2 linked regions of the Alligator mississippiensis genome follow. The protein of the gene in region 2 purifies or fractionates together with the protein of the main gene of each other region. This does not show direct contact. Links are inferred from orthologs where the notes say so. Each region holds a gene or a part of one and is shown on either strand. Other genes may lie near its edges.

Region 1 (7,279 bases), on a different chromosome or scaffold from region 2:
AAGTCAGTCCAAAATAGAAGGGGATTAGCTCAGGGGACTTGGGAGATGGCCTCTGAGGCTTCTCATTGCTAAGGCACTGGTCCTAGTCTGCCACACTGGTTTGGTGGGATCTCAGAGTCAGTCTTACCTAATAATTGCTTTGTGTCTTTTGGATTAAATTCATTTTCTTCTCTTGGATTAAATTCATTTTCTTCAGGTTCTTCAGTATAGTTCTTGGTGGGGTAAATATTTGCATAGAATTATAGTGTCAGGATTACAACTGGGATGTAGGCCTGTAAGGGACTGTGATGTAGGCAGTCACCCTGGGTGGAGCCACAAGCTGGAGGGAGAGTCAGGAGCAGGAAGGAGGAATCCAGACCAGTGTCACTAGCCACAGGGTCCAGAGCAGACAGATATAGCTATACAGGACTGGGCATGGGTGATTGTCAAACTGAGCCATGAGACAGAAGCCAGCTGTCAGAGGACAGGGGTGGGCAAAATACAGCCCGGGGGCTGGATGAAGCCCGCCAGGCCATTCTATCCAGCCTGCAGGCCCCCCCCAAAAATAAGAAAATAAATATTTATCTGCCCCTGGCTGCCTGTCATGTGGCCCTCGATGGCTTACCAAAACTCAGTAAGCAGTCCTCCACCCGAAATAATTGCCTGCCCCTGGTCTAGAAGCACATGGATCAAGGAGCCAGCAAGACAGTCTGGAGACAGAGGAGTCAGAGCTAGACCCTAGAACAAAGATTCAGCAGGCAAGAACAAGGATAAAATCACAGAGCCAATCAGCAGGACCCAAAATGCTAACAAACAGGTAGGGGCCAGGAAACTCAAAACAAGTTGTTAGCAGTCCAAAGCTAAAACATAAGGTGCAGACAGAAGAGCAGTTCCCTGTTGCAACTCATGGCATTTTGCAGGAAGCTCTTTGTGTTACAATCCCACAGACCCAACATATGTTCACTGTTGTATCCTGGTGGTTGAGGGATCCAGCTCCCGCAAGCCTGCAGCCGCTCTCCTCTAGCAAGCCCCAGCCCAGACCCAGTGCTCTTTTCAGAATGGGAGGGAGGAAAAGGTAGCGAAGAGAGCTCATTCTGGGGGGTGCCCAGCTGGCACTGGAGGGTGGGGCAGGTGGATTGGAGCTCCCCCCCACCTCAGGGGGGCTCCAGTCCACCCAGACCACCCTCCAGTGCCAGCTGAAAAAAACCCCAAACCGAGCTCCCTCTGCTCCTTTCCTTCCCTCCTGTTCTAAAGATAGCACTGGGAGTAGGGCTAAACTGCATCAGCCCAGCCCTGCTGCCAGCATGCACAGACACAAGTTACTGAAGGCACTCTATTTTGGAGCACCTTCAGCTGAACCCTCATGCAGTGTCAGATTACCATGAGATCGGGCCCTTTTAAAGCACTCTGCAGCTGTGGACTTGTATTTGGTCACAACTGTAGAGTGCTTTCAGGGACCAGATGGGGTAAAAATTATTATTTCTGTCTACACCTAAAGAAGCATCTATTCTATTAGATAGCCTCATAAGATCAGGTTGAGCTTTTACTTATAAGCAGACAGCCATGCCTACATAGGCAACTGGGACCACCTGGGAGTATTTAGGTCATTGGCAGCCAGGCCCTTGGTAAGGGGGTCCGACTCCATGATCTATTGAGGTCCCTTCCGACCCTAACATCTATGAAACTAGAGTCAGCTGGGAGCAATTGTTTGCTGCTCTGACTCCTGCTACATAGAAAAATAGGGCTGGATGGGACCTTAAGAAAGCCACTTAGTTCAGCCCTCTATTCTAGGCAGAGTCATCTCTATCTAAACTATCTCAAACAAATGTTTGCTTGACCTGCACTTAAACACTTCTAGTGATTAACACTCTATTCCACAGCCTCAATGCTTAACCACCCCCAGAGTTAGAAAGTGCTTTGTATTATGCAACCTAAATGTCACTTGTTGCAATTTAAGCTTATTACTTTTTGTCCTGTCTCTTATGGATGCAGAGAACAGTTAGTCACCATCTTCTTTAAAACAACCCTTTTTGTTTCATAGTTTCATAGTAGCTAGGGTCAGGAAGGACCTAAACAGATCATCTAGCCTGACCCCCTGCCACAGCATTAACAGCATTCATTCATGTATGTGAGATGTTATCAAAACTGCGCTCAGACTTCTCATCTCCAGACTGAGTAATCCTAGTTCTTCCAACCTTTCCTTGTATGTCATATGTCCTAGACCTCTAATCCTTTTTGTTATTTTAATTTTATTTTTTTAAGTTGCCCATGTCTTTCTTGAAGTGCTGTACCCTAAACTGGACACAGTATGCCAGCTGAGGCCTCACCAGTGCTGAAAGTAGTAGAATCTCTTCTCATGACTTGCATATGATACCCAGTATGCTATTAGTGTTTTTTGCAACTGTATGAGACCGCTAACTCATTCAGCTTGTGGTCCACTATAACCTCTAGGCCTCTACTTCTGAAGTATAGTAGTGTAGCCAGTCACTCCCCATTTTGTATCTGTGCATTTGATTGTTCCTTCTTAAGTGCACTACTTTACACCTGTCTGCTCAAATTTAATCTCAATTATTTCAGGCTATTTTTCTTATTTATCAAGGCCATTTTGAGTCCTCATCTTTTCCTCTAAAGGGTTTGCTACCCCACTCAGCTTGGTGTCATCTGCAAATGTGGTAAGTATGCACTCAATTCTATCCTCCAAAGAACATAGTGAGCAATACTGGACCCAAGATAGACCCCTGGAGAACTCCACTTGATATCTTCCCCCAGTGAATCATTGATGACTACTCTTTGAGCACAACCATCCAACCTTTTATGCACTCACCTTCCAGTAGTTTCATTTAGACTGCATTTTCTTGCTTACTAATGAGAATATCATGGGAGGCAACATCAAAAGCTTTGCTAAATTAGAGGTAAATTACATCCACTGCTCTCCCACCACCTTCAGAACCTGTTGCTTTGCCATAGAATGAAATCAGGTTGGTTAAGCATGACTTGCTCTTGACGAAGCCAGGTTCGCTGTTCCTTATCTCCTTGTTATCCTCTAGGTGCTTAGAAATATGTTATGCTCAAGTATCTTTCCAGATATCAGAGTTAGATTGATTGGTCTGTAATTTCCTAGGTCCCGCTTGCTCATTTTTATTTTTTTTTTATATAAAGATGAGGTATATAAAATATAAAGATATTTTCCGTTTTCCAGTCTTCAAACACCTCAGCAGGCCAGCAAAATACTACAGCATATTATTTTAGGACTTTTGAATGCAAATTTTCCATGTCTGCTGATTCAAAACTCTTTATGCATATTAGGGATGTTATCAGATCTCATCAATAATAGGCAGCAGCTCTGCAGTGACCTCAGTCAAGTCCTTAAGTACAGTACTCTAGGATGCATCTCATCTTGCCCAGCTGATTTGAAAACATCCACTTTGTCTAAGTTACCTCTGACTTGTTCTTTCTTTTCAGCTATCTACTGCCCTAACCTTTGCATCTTTTGCTGTTAAGTGGGCCTGCCATCTGATTATTGACCTGACTTCTGCCCACAAAACTACTTCTTGTAGACCAGACCTAGCAGGTAGAGTACAGCCTGCCCTCATAGGTTAGGATTACAATGTGTTAAAAAACTGTTGTCCAAGGCCATGTTTGAGGAAAAGGGATTTCTATACTGGCTTTTATGGCCATTACCTGCAACAGGACTGCCTTGAAGTAAAATCTCTAGTGTAAAGGACCACTGGCTTCCACTTCCAGGTCCGGGCATGGAGAGCCGTGACAGAGCCCCACAGGCCTTAAACGGGCAGAGCTTAGGACAGACACCCCCACACACTTGAGTTCCAGCTGTGGCGCTCAGCGCCCCGAACTGCTCTGGGACCACATCCTGCAAGCAGGCATCTTAGGCTGAGGGAGTCTGGCGACATGAGCAGAGAAGAAGGGGGCAAAATTGCCCCCAGGCGATGGGCACTACCCTCAGCAGCACCCCCAAGGCTCGGCACCACGGCTACCCCCAGGAGGGAAGTGAGCCTCCAGGTCACTTTCAGGGCAAGCTAAAGCCTACACAGCGCCACCGGCCTAGGCAGCTCTGCGCACCAGCCACCTTCACAGAACAGCATAACGCAGCCAACCCTCCCAGACCACACTCCATGGGTGCGGGCAATGTTACTCAGCGGGCCGGCCCCACCAATGGGAGAGCGGCGGGGACGGGACCACGCCTGTCTGGAACCAATGCGCAGAAGAGCTGGGGTAAGAGGCCTCGCGTGATGTCACCAACCCGGAAGTGGTCGCTCCTGGAAGGGGCGGACCCTAGAGAAGGGGGAGGGGTAGTGCCGGGGACCGAGCGCTCGTGCTGCCCAGGGAGGGGTCCCCAGGTAGGTGGCGTGGCGTGGCGCGGCGCGGCGCGGCGGGCGGGACCGCCTCGGCTACCCGCGCTGCTTGTCCCTGCAGCTCGCTGACGTGCCGCGGCCGTGGCCTGGGCCGGGCCGGCGCGGTGGGGCGGGGCGCTCGCAGCAGCATGGCAGCGGAGATGAAGGTGACGGGGCAGAGCCAGGAGCAGTTCCTGCTGCTCGCCAAGTCCTCCCGCGGCGCCGCCCTGGCCAGCCTCATCCACCAGGTGCTGGACGCGCCCGGCATCTACGTCTTCGGGGAGCTGCTGGACCTGCCTAACGTGCGGGAGGTGAGCGTCCTCCTCCCGGCCCCGGGGAGCCCGCCGGAGCTTGCACCCCAGGGCTTTGATTGCCCCTTGGGAAAGGGCCCGACGGGCTGGCCCTGCACAGTGCCTGGGCAGTGTGCCTTCCTGGCCCCGGGTACAGGATCACGGAGGATGGGGGCTGGAAGGTACCTCAGGTCATCTAGTCTAACCCCTGCTCAAAGTCAGATCATCCCAGCCAAGGCTTTGTCTACCCAGTTCTTACAAACCAAGCATTGCAATCCATGGCCCTGGCCCTGGGCATGGGAGGGAGGACCACTGTGCACTAGCCCCCCTGCTGGATGTTCTGTTTATGAACCTTCCTACTTGCCACTGTCTGCTTCAATCGTTTCTCTTGTCATAGTCATAGGATCATAAAAAGTGAGGGTTGAGAGGGCATCTAGTCCAACCCCCTGCTCAAAGCAGGACCATCCTCAGCTAGATCATTTTAGCCAAGGCTTTGTCTAGCTGGGTTTTAAAAACCTCCAAGGACGGAGAGTCCACAACCTCTCTGAGTTACCTGTTCCAGTGCTTCACCACCCTCCTTGTGAGAGAGTTCTTTCTATGCTTACCTGTTAGAATCCATACATCCTAGACCTTAATGCTGGAAGCTGCTAGGGGGGAGTAAACTGGGTATTACCAGGGTGCCTCCACCCCATCCACTGCAACCTCCAGCATTAAGGTCTAGGAAGTTCTGATTCTAACAGGTAAGCGCAGAAAGAACTCTCTCATAGCTTATAGCTCTCCTTAATGGGCTTTAGCCCATGTTCCAGAAAGGCATATCAAAAGACCTGTGTCACTGAGGAGGGGGGCTTACAGTGTTTCCTTGTGTGGCAGGCCCATTTGTTATGCCATGAGGAAGTGTGGGCTTACACGCACAAGGAAACACTGTAAGCCCCTCTCCTCTGTGACACAGGCCTTTTGATGTGCCATTCCGGAAACATGGGCTAAAGCCCATCAAGGAGAGCTATAAGCCATCCCCTGGTGATGAGGGCCATTAAGAGCATATCACTGATTACTTGGGACAAATAAAAACAAAACTGGGACAGGAGTGAGGGCTATTGGTTCATAATAAGTCCATCAAGGGAGGACACCAAGCAGAGTACACAGGCCAGTGCCCTCATATGAGTCCATGGAGCCAGTAGAACTCTGCCTGGAGACATGAATATCCATGCAGAGATGAAATCAGGAAGGCCAAAATACAATTGGAGTTGCAGCTAGCAAGGGACATGAAGGGTAACAAGAAGGGTTTCTACAAGTATGTCGGTAGCAAGAGGAGGATCAGGGGAAGTGTGAGTCCCTTACTGAATGCGGGAGGCAACCTGGTGACAGAGGATGCAGAAAAGGCTGAAGTGCTCAGTGCCTTTTTTGCCTCAGTCTTCACAGGCAAGGTCAGCTCCCAGACTACTACACTAGGCAGCACAGTTTGGGGAGGAGGTGAGCAGACAACAGTGGTGAAAGAACAGGTTAGGGACTGCTTAGAAAAGCTGGACGTGTACAAGTCCATGGGGCCAGATGGGATGTACCTGAGGGTGCTGAGGGAGTTGGCTGGTGGAATTGGACATCATCTTTGAAAACTCATGGCGATCAGGACAGGTCCCAGATGATTGGAAAAGGGCAAACATAGTGCCCATATTTAAGAAAAGGGAAAAAGGAGGATCCAGGGAACTACAAACCAGTCAGCCTCACCTCAGTCCCTGGAAAAATCATGGAACAGATCCTCAAGAAATCCATTTCTGAGCACTCGGAGGAAAAGAAGGTGATTATTAGGAACAGGCAGCATGGATTCACCAAGGGCAAGTCATGCCTAACCAACCTGATTGCCTTCTATGACAAGGTGACTGGCTCTGTGGATGCAGGGACACCGGCGGACGTGGCGTACTTTGATTTTAGCAAGGCTTTTGATACGGTCTCCCACAGCATTCTCGCAGGCAAACTAAGGAAGTATGGGCTGGATGAATGGACTGTGAGGTGGATAGAAAACTGGCGAGAGCATTGGGCTCAGATAGTATCTAATCAATGGCTCTATGTTTAGTTGGAACCTGGTATCAGGTAGTGTGCCCCAGGGGTTGGTCCTAGGGCCAGTTTTGTTCAATGTCTTCGTCAACGACCTGGAAGATAGCATAGAGTGTACCCTCAGCAAGTTTGCAGATAACACCAAGCTGGGGGGAGTAGTAGATACATTGGAGCATAGGGCTTGGATTCAGAGTGACGTAGACACTAATTGTAGGATTGAGCCAAATGAAATCTAATGAGGTTCAACAAGGACAAGTGCAAAGTCCTGCACTTAGGATGGAACAATCCCATACACCAGCACAGGCTGGGGGCTGGCTGGCTGGGCAGCAGCTCTGCAGAAAAAGACCTGAGGGGTCACAGTGGACAATAAGCTGAATATGAGTCAGCAGTGTGCCCTTGTTGTCAAGGCTAACGGCATACTGGGTTGCATTGGTAGGTGTGTTGCCAGGTAAAGGGCAGTGATCATTCTCCTCTATTCAGCACTGGTGAGGCTACATCTGGAGTACTGTGTTCAGTTTTGCCTCTTTTCTTGTAGACTTAGGATCTCACTAGGGAAAGGAAAGTGGCCCCACAGTCCCCAGTGATCTTCCTGCCAGAGCCTCCTTCCTG
Region 2 (7,627 bases):
GTCCACGGTACTCAAGCTGCAAAGCTGACAGGCACAGTCCGTAGCACAATCCTTGAAGAGAGAGATGATCTGTTCTTCCAGCGTCCCAAGAACGACAGGGGATGGTGTCAGCACAGGGGTTTTCTTCTTCTTTCTTCTTCTCCTTCTTTTCCTCCTTCTTCTACTTCTTTCTTTTTGAAGCACACACACTTACAGATTTTTATACCCTCAGTTCAGCTGCTTCGAAGCACCCTCAGTAGTGTAAATCATTGTCTTTTCTATTGACAAGGGGTTATCTGGTTTGGACCATCTCAGGAAACTGATTGATAATCAGGAAACACTTAAGATTAGGGAGTAACCCAAATACTTGGGAGCCAGCTTGAGATTCCTATGGATGGCAGATATCCTGATGGGATATCTCATGGTTTCTTCAGGAACAATAGATAGCTTGCAGTATCAGGATTTTGGATTTTTACTTGTTGTGCACAAGCCTCAGCTTAGCATGACTTTTCCAGATTTTACTATAGTCTTTTAACAGACTTAAAGCAATTATTGGGGTGCTCATAACCTTTTGTGGAGAGGACTCCCACCAGTCGTCTCGGGAAAGATACGACAACACCTGGGATTAGGGCTCCAGCAGGCTGGATGCTGTGATGAACCCTTAACCATTGTTCCAATGTTGCCCATACCCCCTCGGACTTGGTCTCTTGCCTCAGCATTCCCTAACCCGGCAACCGAGTTTTAGTCAATCAAGTTTAAATAGGCCTCCCATAGTGGGACCGGGGAATGTATGGCCCGAGATGCCTATTAAACTTAGAGCTGTGTGTGTGTGTCTGGGGGGAGAAAAGTCCTTAGCAAATCCAGATTAGAACTGGTCTGATAAATGCTGAGCTGGGTGTGTGTGAACATGGGTTAATTAACATTGGAAGCACAGATTCCCCATCATGCAGCGCTCTCCTGCTTCTCTGGTCCCAGAATTCACTGCAGTCTCTGCTTCAGGCTTTCTGTTTTCCATCTCTCATGTAAATGAATGGTCATCTGGTTCCATCTCGGATGTAAATGAGACCTAGGGCAGTTGTTTCACTCTTATCACCCTTACCTGGAGAGTTTTAGGTGCGTCTCTCACTGCATCTTAATCAGTTTCGTTTATGTAGAGGAGGGGAGGGAGGGGGTGGGGGGGGGGGTCCTTTGTGAGTCAGACAGACTGCATCCTGTGCCAGGGTTGCCCAAGAATACAGAGCTGAGGTGTAACAGCAGCCCTTCTTCCATCCCCACGCCCTGCCAAACAAGCTGCTTGCAGCTCCATCCCATGCCCTGTCCTGGCTGGGCAGCGCCTGTTGGTGCCCCTTCACTTCCATGTCTGGAGCAGTCACCCCACTGCGGCACTCGCTACAGCACTGCATTTACATCTAAAATAACTGTCTTGTACAGCTATCACAAAATGTGTAGGTTAGCCTAAAACAGAGTTATTGAAACTGCATCCACTGATGATGTGGCCATTTCATAATCATGCTAATAAGAGAAGAACATGATAGCAATTTAAATGGCTGGTGAAGGAAGTAATCCAAACACAATTACTTTAACTGGAATTTTGTCAGGATGCTCCTAGTACAGTAAGATACATACTCCTATGTCACTTCCATTGGGAATATTGAAAGCTCTCTTTCTCTATTAGTGTGATGACCTCTTCACAATGCTGGGGCTTGACATACAGGGGAGAATACTACCTACAGCAGGGGTGGGCAATTATTTTTGCTGGAGGGACTGTTAATGAGTTTTGTTCACTCTTAATGAGTGTGGCTACATGTGAGTGGGTGTGGGGTTTGTGGGGGGAATGTGGGTAGATGGGTGTGGGATTTGCAGGGGGGTGTGGGGAAGGAGTATGGGGGAGGGTGTGGTGTTTGTGGGGGGTGTGGTTGTGTGTGGGGGAGCATGGGATTGTGGGCTTTGTGGGGGAATGTGATGGAGGGTGTGTACGTATGGTGGGGTGTACATGGGAGCCCTCCTCCCCCCCCCTCCCCACACATGTACCCCCCTGGGCCAGTCAGCACCCCCTACCCCACAACAGCCCGGAGCCTGCATGCCCCACAGCTTTTTGTCACCACTGCTAATAGCACATAGCTCCAACCCCAACCCGCCACACACTTGCTCCAGACTTGCCCCGGCTGAAGCAGACCACCTGGAGCCCACGTGCACAGCCCCAAACAAGACCCACTGCATGCCTGCTCCTGACCACCTGCCCATGCTGAGCAGCAGCAGTGGCTGGGCAGAAGCTGCTGCTCGGCATATGGGAAAAGCAGTCCCTCCCCTTTGCCATGGCTGGGTCCTTCTTGTTACAGCCACCCAGAGCCCGTGCCCAGGCTGCCCTGCAACTCCTTTTCACTGCTGTTACTGGGCCGCCCAGCAACGTAGTGGCAGCAGTGCAGAGGAGCTGCAGGGCAGCTATTAATGCAGCCACCTCCCAGCTGCCAAATGGCCAAAACCCATGTGGCAGGTTGAAGACAGGCCATGCCCCCTGTCCCCCACACCTGGATTGGGGCGAGGCCATGCTCCCTCCTGGTGCCACCCCATGGGGCTGGTGTGGGCAGGGTCAAGCCCCCTTCAGACCCCCACAGGGCTGGGTTGGGGCTGGGTTCAGTTTCCTTATACCCACTGCGGGGCCAAGTCAAGTCCTCTTCTGCAGGGTTGGGTTGGGGCCGGGCTGTTCCCCCGCTTCCCTCTGTGTGGCCAGATTGGGCCCACTCCATCTGCTGAGGGCACAAGATTGGGACCAGCAGCCAATCTGGCCCATGGATGGACCAGACCCTGCCTATCTGGCCCACCTGATGAAAGGGTTGAGCATCACTGCCTGAGGGCACCAGGCCTGTTCTCTGTTGCCTCTCTGCTGTAACAGTGACTCCTGTCTGTCCAATACTGCGGCCGCTTCCCGCTCTTTCATCCATTCACATCTCCAGGCAGATTTCACTGGGCAGTGTCTGCTGGCTCCTTGGACTTGTGTGCTCTGTTTGGTATCCCCACTTTGTGCACTCGTTATAAACCTATGCCCCTCACTCCTTTCCCTGTTTTTCTTTCAGTTGTCCCAAGGAATCAACTGCTATGTCCTCAGTGGCCTCCTTTTTAAGGAAGGCTTATAATTTTACTTAGCGGCTTCTGCAATGGTGTAACAAATAGGTCTGTCTGCCTAACACGGCAACCATCCCTCGCTCCATCCTCCTCACCTCTTAGGGCCCTCAAAATAATAAACTGAGGAAAAGATGGGCACTTTTTCCACTTGCTCTGTGGCCGAGAGAGGAACAAGTGTCTTTACCGGGCTTCGCTGCTTCTAAGGCAGGAGCTATCAACCTTTTTGGACTCAATTGGCTAAGTACAGACAGTCAAAAGGCCCTAGGCTGAATTGATTCAATCTTTGCAAGTTAGTTTAAGCAAGTGAACCGATAAGCAAGTGAACAGACATTCACTTCTGATTCAAGAATACAGCCGCGTGCCAGAAGCTGGCAGGCACCGGAGCACCCTTCCTTGCTTGGAGAAGACAGCTTGGGCCAAGGCTAGTCGGCCCACCCTGCGAAGGGGGCGTGCAGGGGAGGGGAAAAGGATCCTGGGGACTGAGTTATCTTGAATTTGGAGCGGATCTGGGATGGACATTTAGTAAATCAATGTAACCTAAATCAGTTAGGTCTGATACTTCATCTGGTTCATCTTAAACCAGTTTCGGCCATTCTGGAAGTGGTTTATGTGCCCGGAACTTCTGGACTAGGTGCAGACATTCAGAAAGTCTGATGTAGAGTCAATTTAAGTTGTGTGGTTTTCTGCAAGCAGCCTAGATTAGGTGGGCGGTGAACACAACACACATTCACTCTTTGGTGGCAGGAGGGCAAATTTTAGACCGGGTTCTGCTATTTTTTAACTAGTCTGTGCATGCTGAACCTCTGTTCTGTTACAGGTCTAGACTGGTTGTGTGTGCCTACCGTCTGTTATGGGTATAGACCAGTTTCCACTCTTTAATATGGGTAAACGTGTAATGTCTGTATCTGGCTTTGTCGCATTACGTTTGAGACAGTTTCTGATCGTACTTTATACTGGTTTATGTGTAACCTCCGCCCCCAGCCAGGTGCCCTTGGGGAAGGCCAAGGGGCCTGGGCTTAGACTGGGGAAGAGAGGACTGAGGGGATTTCACAGCAGCCTTCAACTGCCTGAAGGGGGTGCAAGGAGGACGGAGCAGGACTGTTCTCGGATGGAGCAAGGGGCTCAAGTTGCAGCAAGGGAAGTTTAGGTTGGATATTAGGGAAAACTCCCTCAGGAGGAGGGTGGGAAAGCACTGGACCAAGCTGCCCAGACCGGGGGTGAAATCTCCATCCTCGGGAGTGGGGGTGAAGACGCAGGTAGCAAAGCCCCGGCTGGGGACAGCCGTGCCCTGGGCAGGGCTTGGCCTAGATGTCCCCGAGGCTCGCTTCCACCCTCACTTGCTGAGTCCCACCCAGGCGGCTCGAGGCTCCCCCGTGCGTGTGGCGCCGAGGTGGGTCGTGGTCGCCGTCGTGGCCGTGCAGGGCTGCGGGACATACTATCGCCCCTCCGCGGCTCGAGGCTCGCGGCTCAGGGGCGGGCGGGGCGGGGCGGGGCGGGCGAGAGGCGGTGCCAGGAGGCGGCGGCAGATCCGGGCCCGGCGGAGCCGGAAGGGGCGGGCGGCCGTGGCGCGGGCCTGACTCTGCGGGACGCGCGATGCTGGTGAGTGCGGCGCGGCGCGGCGGGGCCCGGCCCGGGGCCGGCTGTGGCGCAGCGAGGCCTGCGGTGGCGGCGGCTCTTTGTGCCGCGCGGGGCCGCCGTTGCCGCCGGGCTGGGGATGGGCCCGGGGCCGCGATCCGCGCTGCGGCCTCTGCCCGCCTCGCAGGCCCGCGCCGCCCCCTGCGGCTCCTGGCTGGGCCTTGCGGGTCCCCCTACGGCCCTGGTGACACCCGGCGTGGCCCAGGCTCCTCCGGCCCCCGGGAGCTGCGCACTTCCCCACTCCCCCGCCCCGGTATTTCTCCTCCCATCACCTTGCTCGTCCCCTCACATACTCCTTCCCCGGCCTCTGCCCCGACCCGCGCCTTCCCCCTCCCTGGGGTTGGACCCCAGCAGCTCTTGGCCTCGGTGGTTCAGGCTTTTTCTCCCTCTGCCCTGCTCCTTAAACCCTTCCCAGTGCCTCCTTCCAGGCCGCGCTTCCAGGTGCCCCCAACTTGAGTCTCCGACCGCTCAGCTGCGCGGTGTGGAGGACAGATGGGGGTCCTGGGGTAGCACAGCTTTGTAGTTAGCCCTGCCAGACTTCACCCTTGGCACTGAGGGTGGTGGGCGGGGGGGCTGGACCAGGCACGCATTTCCTTAGCTTCATTATTTCCTAGTTGCCTCTTCCCATTAGGAATTGAGAGGCCTCGTATTTTTCCAGCAGCCTCTAGTTCCTGTCTTGTCACTTCACTTGCCAGAGGTTGTTGGTGTTGTGTGGATGCTTGCTACACGAGACTGAGAGTATTTGAAGATTGCAGACAGATTGAAGCAGTGTATGTAGTGGCCCAGGCATGAATGCCAGGCAGTTTCAGAACTGGTCTACAGCCAGTTGCTCTGGTTCAACTAAATCACTCTGTTCCCAGCTTGACTCGTTCATTCTTTGATCATAACCTACCATTAAACCTCATCCTAAATCTGTGTCTACAGGTAGAGGTCCCCTCTGCCCCCCCCCCCCCCCCCCCCCCCCCACTTCTTCCCCATCTCTTGTTTTCTCACGCTGTCTACCTGGGACTAACTATTTGTTCTGCCAAGTGCTTTAATAAGCTCTGCTCTTTTGAAAATGCTGGGGGATGGGCTTAGTTCAGAGTAGAAGCAGGGAGCTTTGTTTCCATTGCTGCATTGTGAATTGGTGATCTATAAGGAGGGCAAGTTGTTTGGGGCATTTTTGTGGTTTTATTTTTAGGAAAGGAGGAGATGTATTTCATAGAAAAGTAAGGCCAGAAGGGACCTCAAGAGATCACATAGTCCAACCAAGGTTGTGGTAGGGTCACACTGTTTGTGGTCTTCTCTTGGGTGAATTTCACCCCTACAGATTTTGAGTACCGATCGTGCAGCAGTTGTATTACTTTGCTCCACAGTGGTATCTTTCTGTTCTGATCTGGGAGGTCTCTTATTTTTCCAGTAGTGTTTAGTTCCCATCTTGGCCCTTTTGTCCTTTGTTAGTTGCCTTATGTTGTTGGTGTTAATTTTGTTGATGCTTGCTACAAAAGACCTGCCATATTTGAATATTGCAGTCAGATAATGTCCCATTGGATTAACGCTAAGTAGTTTCCGCGTGGGTCTACATCCAGTTGCCCTGGTTTAACTAAATCACCATGTTTCTAGTTTACTCACTCTCTCATAGCTCATAGAGCGTACGCATGTAACTTATGTATTTCTAGGAAGTTCAACTTAAAACTTTGAAAACGGATTTTGCTCAGTTGTCAGATTCCTTCATGAGGATGCTTTGGTTTGATAGCTGGATTTAGTTTAAATTGATTTGAATTCATTCAGAGTGGTTACAGTTTGTCTGTAATTGTCCAAGTCACTTCTATGTCATTTGAAATACAGTTCTGTAGAATAATATAGTCTTTTCATTTGAAACTCACTCTGTTCTATTTAATGTTTGTCCTTTTTTTCTTTTTTTATAGTTCTCAGGTGCCAGATTGTAGATTTGAGAACATGGAGCTTTAAGAGGCCTGGTCTTTGAGGGAAATGACTCATCAGTGGCAGTGGTTAACTAGCTTGAGTCCACCTGAACTCAGGTTGGCTTCCACTGGAAGTGGCTTATGTGGCAGCGGACCTGTTAGTTTAATTATCAAGTCACTTACATTTTTCGGTAATATTAAAAACATTTCCGTCTCCTGTACAAGTTACCGTAAATGTCAGTAGAAAAGATGCATTATGAGGCCAATGCAACTATGTCTGACAAAAGTTGTGAGCAAGAATGCTTTTCCTTTTACAGATGGAGGCTAAAACAGTGTCTATACTGCAACTTTTAACTGAGTGTGCAGCTATATACAGGCGAGACTACATTAACTGTATCACAAATAATACAGCAAAGTTTGGATATATTCAGATTTCTGCTGTCACAGCCATGTTTGTAATTCTTTATTCACCATGTTGTATTGGTTTCAATCTGGGGGAAAATCTTTCTGGGGGATAGATACCGTGCTACAGTGGCAGGGAATGCTTGGAGGATATGCATCTGCAACATGTAGGGCAATGTACTTGTGCAATCTGTTGCTATACAGAGCTTGAAAGAAGGACAGCCAGCAAACCAATAATCAGCTTTGTTATGGAAGACACTTCTGCATTTTAAGAATGTGAGAACTAGTTTCAGAAAGATGGCAAAGGCTTCTGGCAGGGACAAAGCTCTATTAGCTGTTAAGTTACTACAGTATATTTTAAAGATAAGATGAACAGCAACAAATGGTGATTGGAGACAACAATTATAGGTTTGATTAAGAAGTTGTCTGTGCAAAGTTTCTTTCTTAACTTCTCACTGTTGTGTTGCATTTCTGGTGGGAGAGCTAGTACGGATTGACAGCTGAGGGCTTTTACCACTGCAGACTAGATCTGCTATGAACAGGGTAAAGTTGCATAGAAGTTAAGTTGCCATGAACTCAGCCTC

Evidence for each region. The genes of interacting proteins can lie anywhere in the genome.
Region 1: the proteins of CUL1 (region 2) and COPS7A purify together in Homo sapiens (affinity purification with western blotting; 5 studies listed by BioGRID and IntAct, with this or other methods). This does not show direct contact. The link is inferred for Alligator mississippiensis from reciprocal best matches to the Homo sapiens genes CUL1 and COPS7A.

Annotation. Positions count from the first base shown.
Region 1 is NC_081824.1:243,714,316-243,721,594, forward strand, and holds the start of COPS7A (COP9 signalosome complex subunit 7a), read left to right. Parts: upstream 1-4,261; 5' UTR 4,262-4,337; exon of another isoform or gene 4,338-4,413; 5' UTR 4,414-4,480; coding exon 4,481-4,642; intron 4,643-7,279.
Region 2 is NC_081828.1:117,827,587-117,835,213, reverse strand, and holds the start of CUL1 (cullin-1), read left to right. Parts: upstream 1-4,622; 5' UTR 4,623-4,701; intron 4,702-7,627. UniProt on the Homo sapiens protein: Core component of multiple cullin-RING-based SCF (SKP1-CUL1-F-box protein) E3 ubiquitin-protein ligase complexes, which mediate the ubiquitination of proteins involved in cell cycle progression, signal transduction and transcription.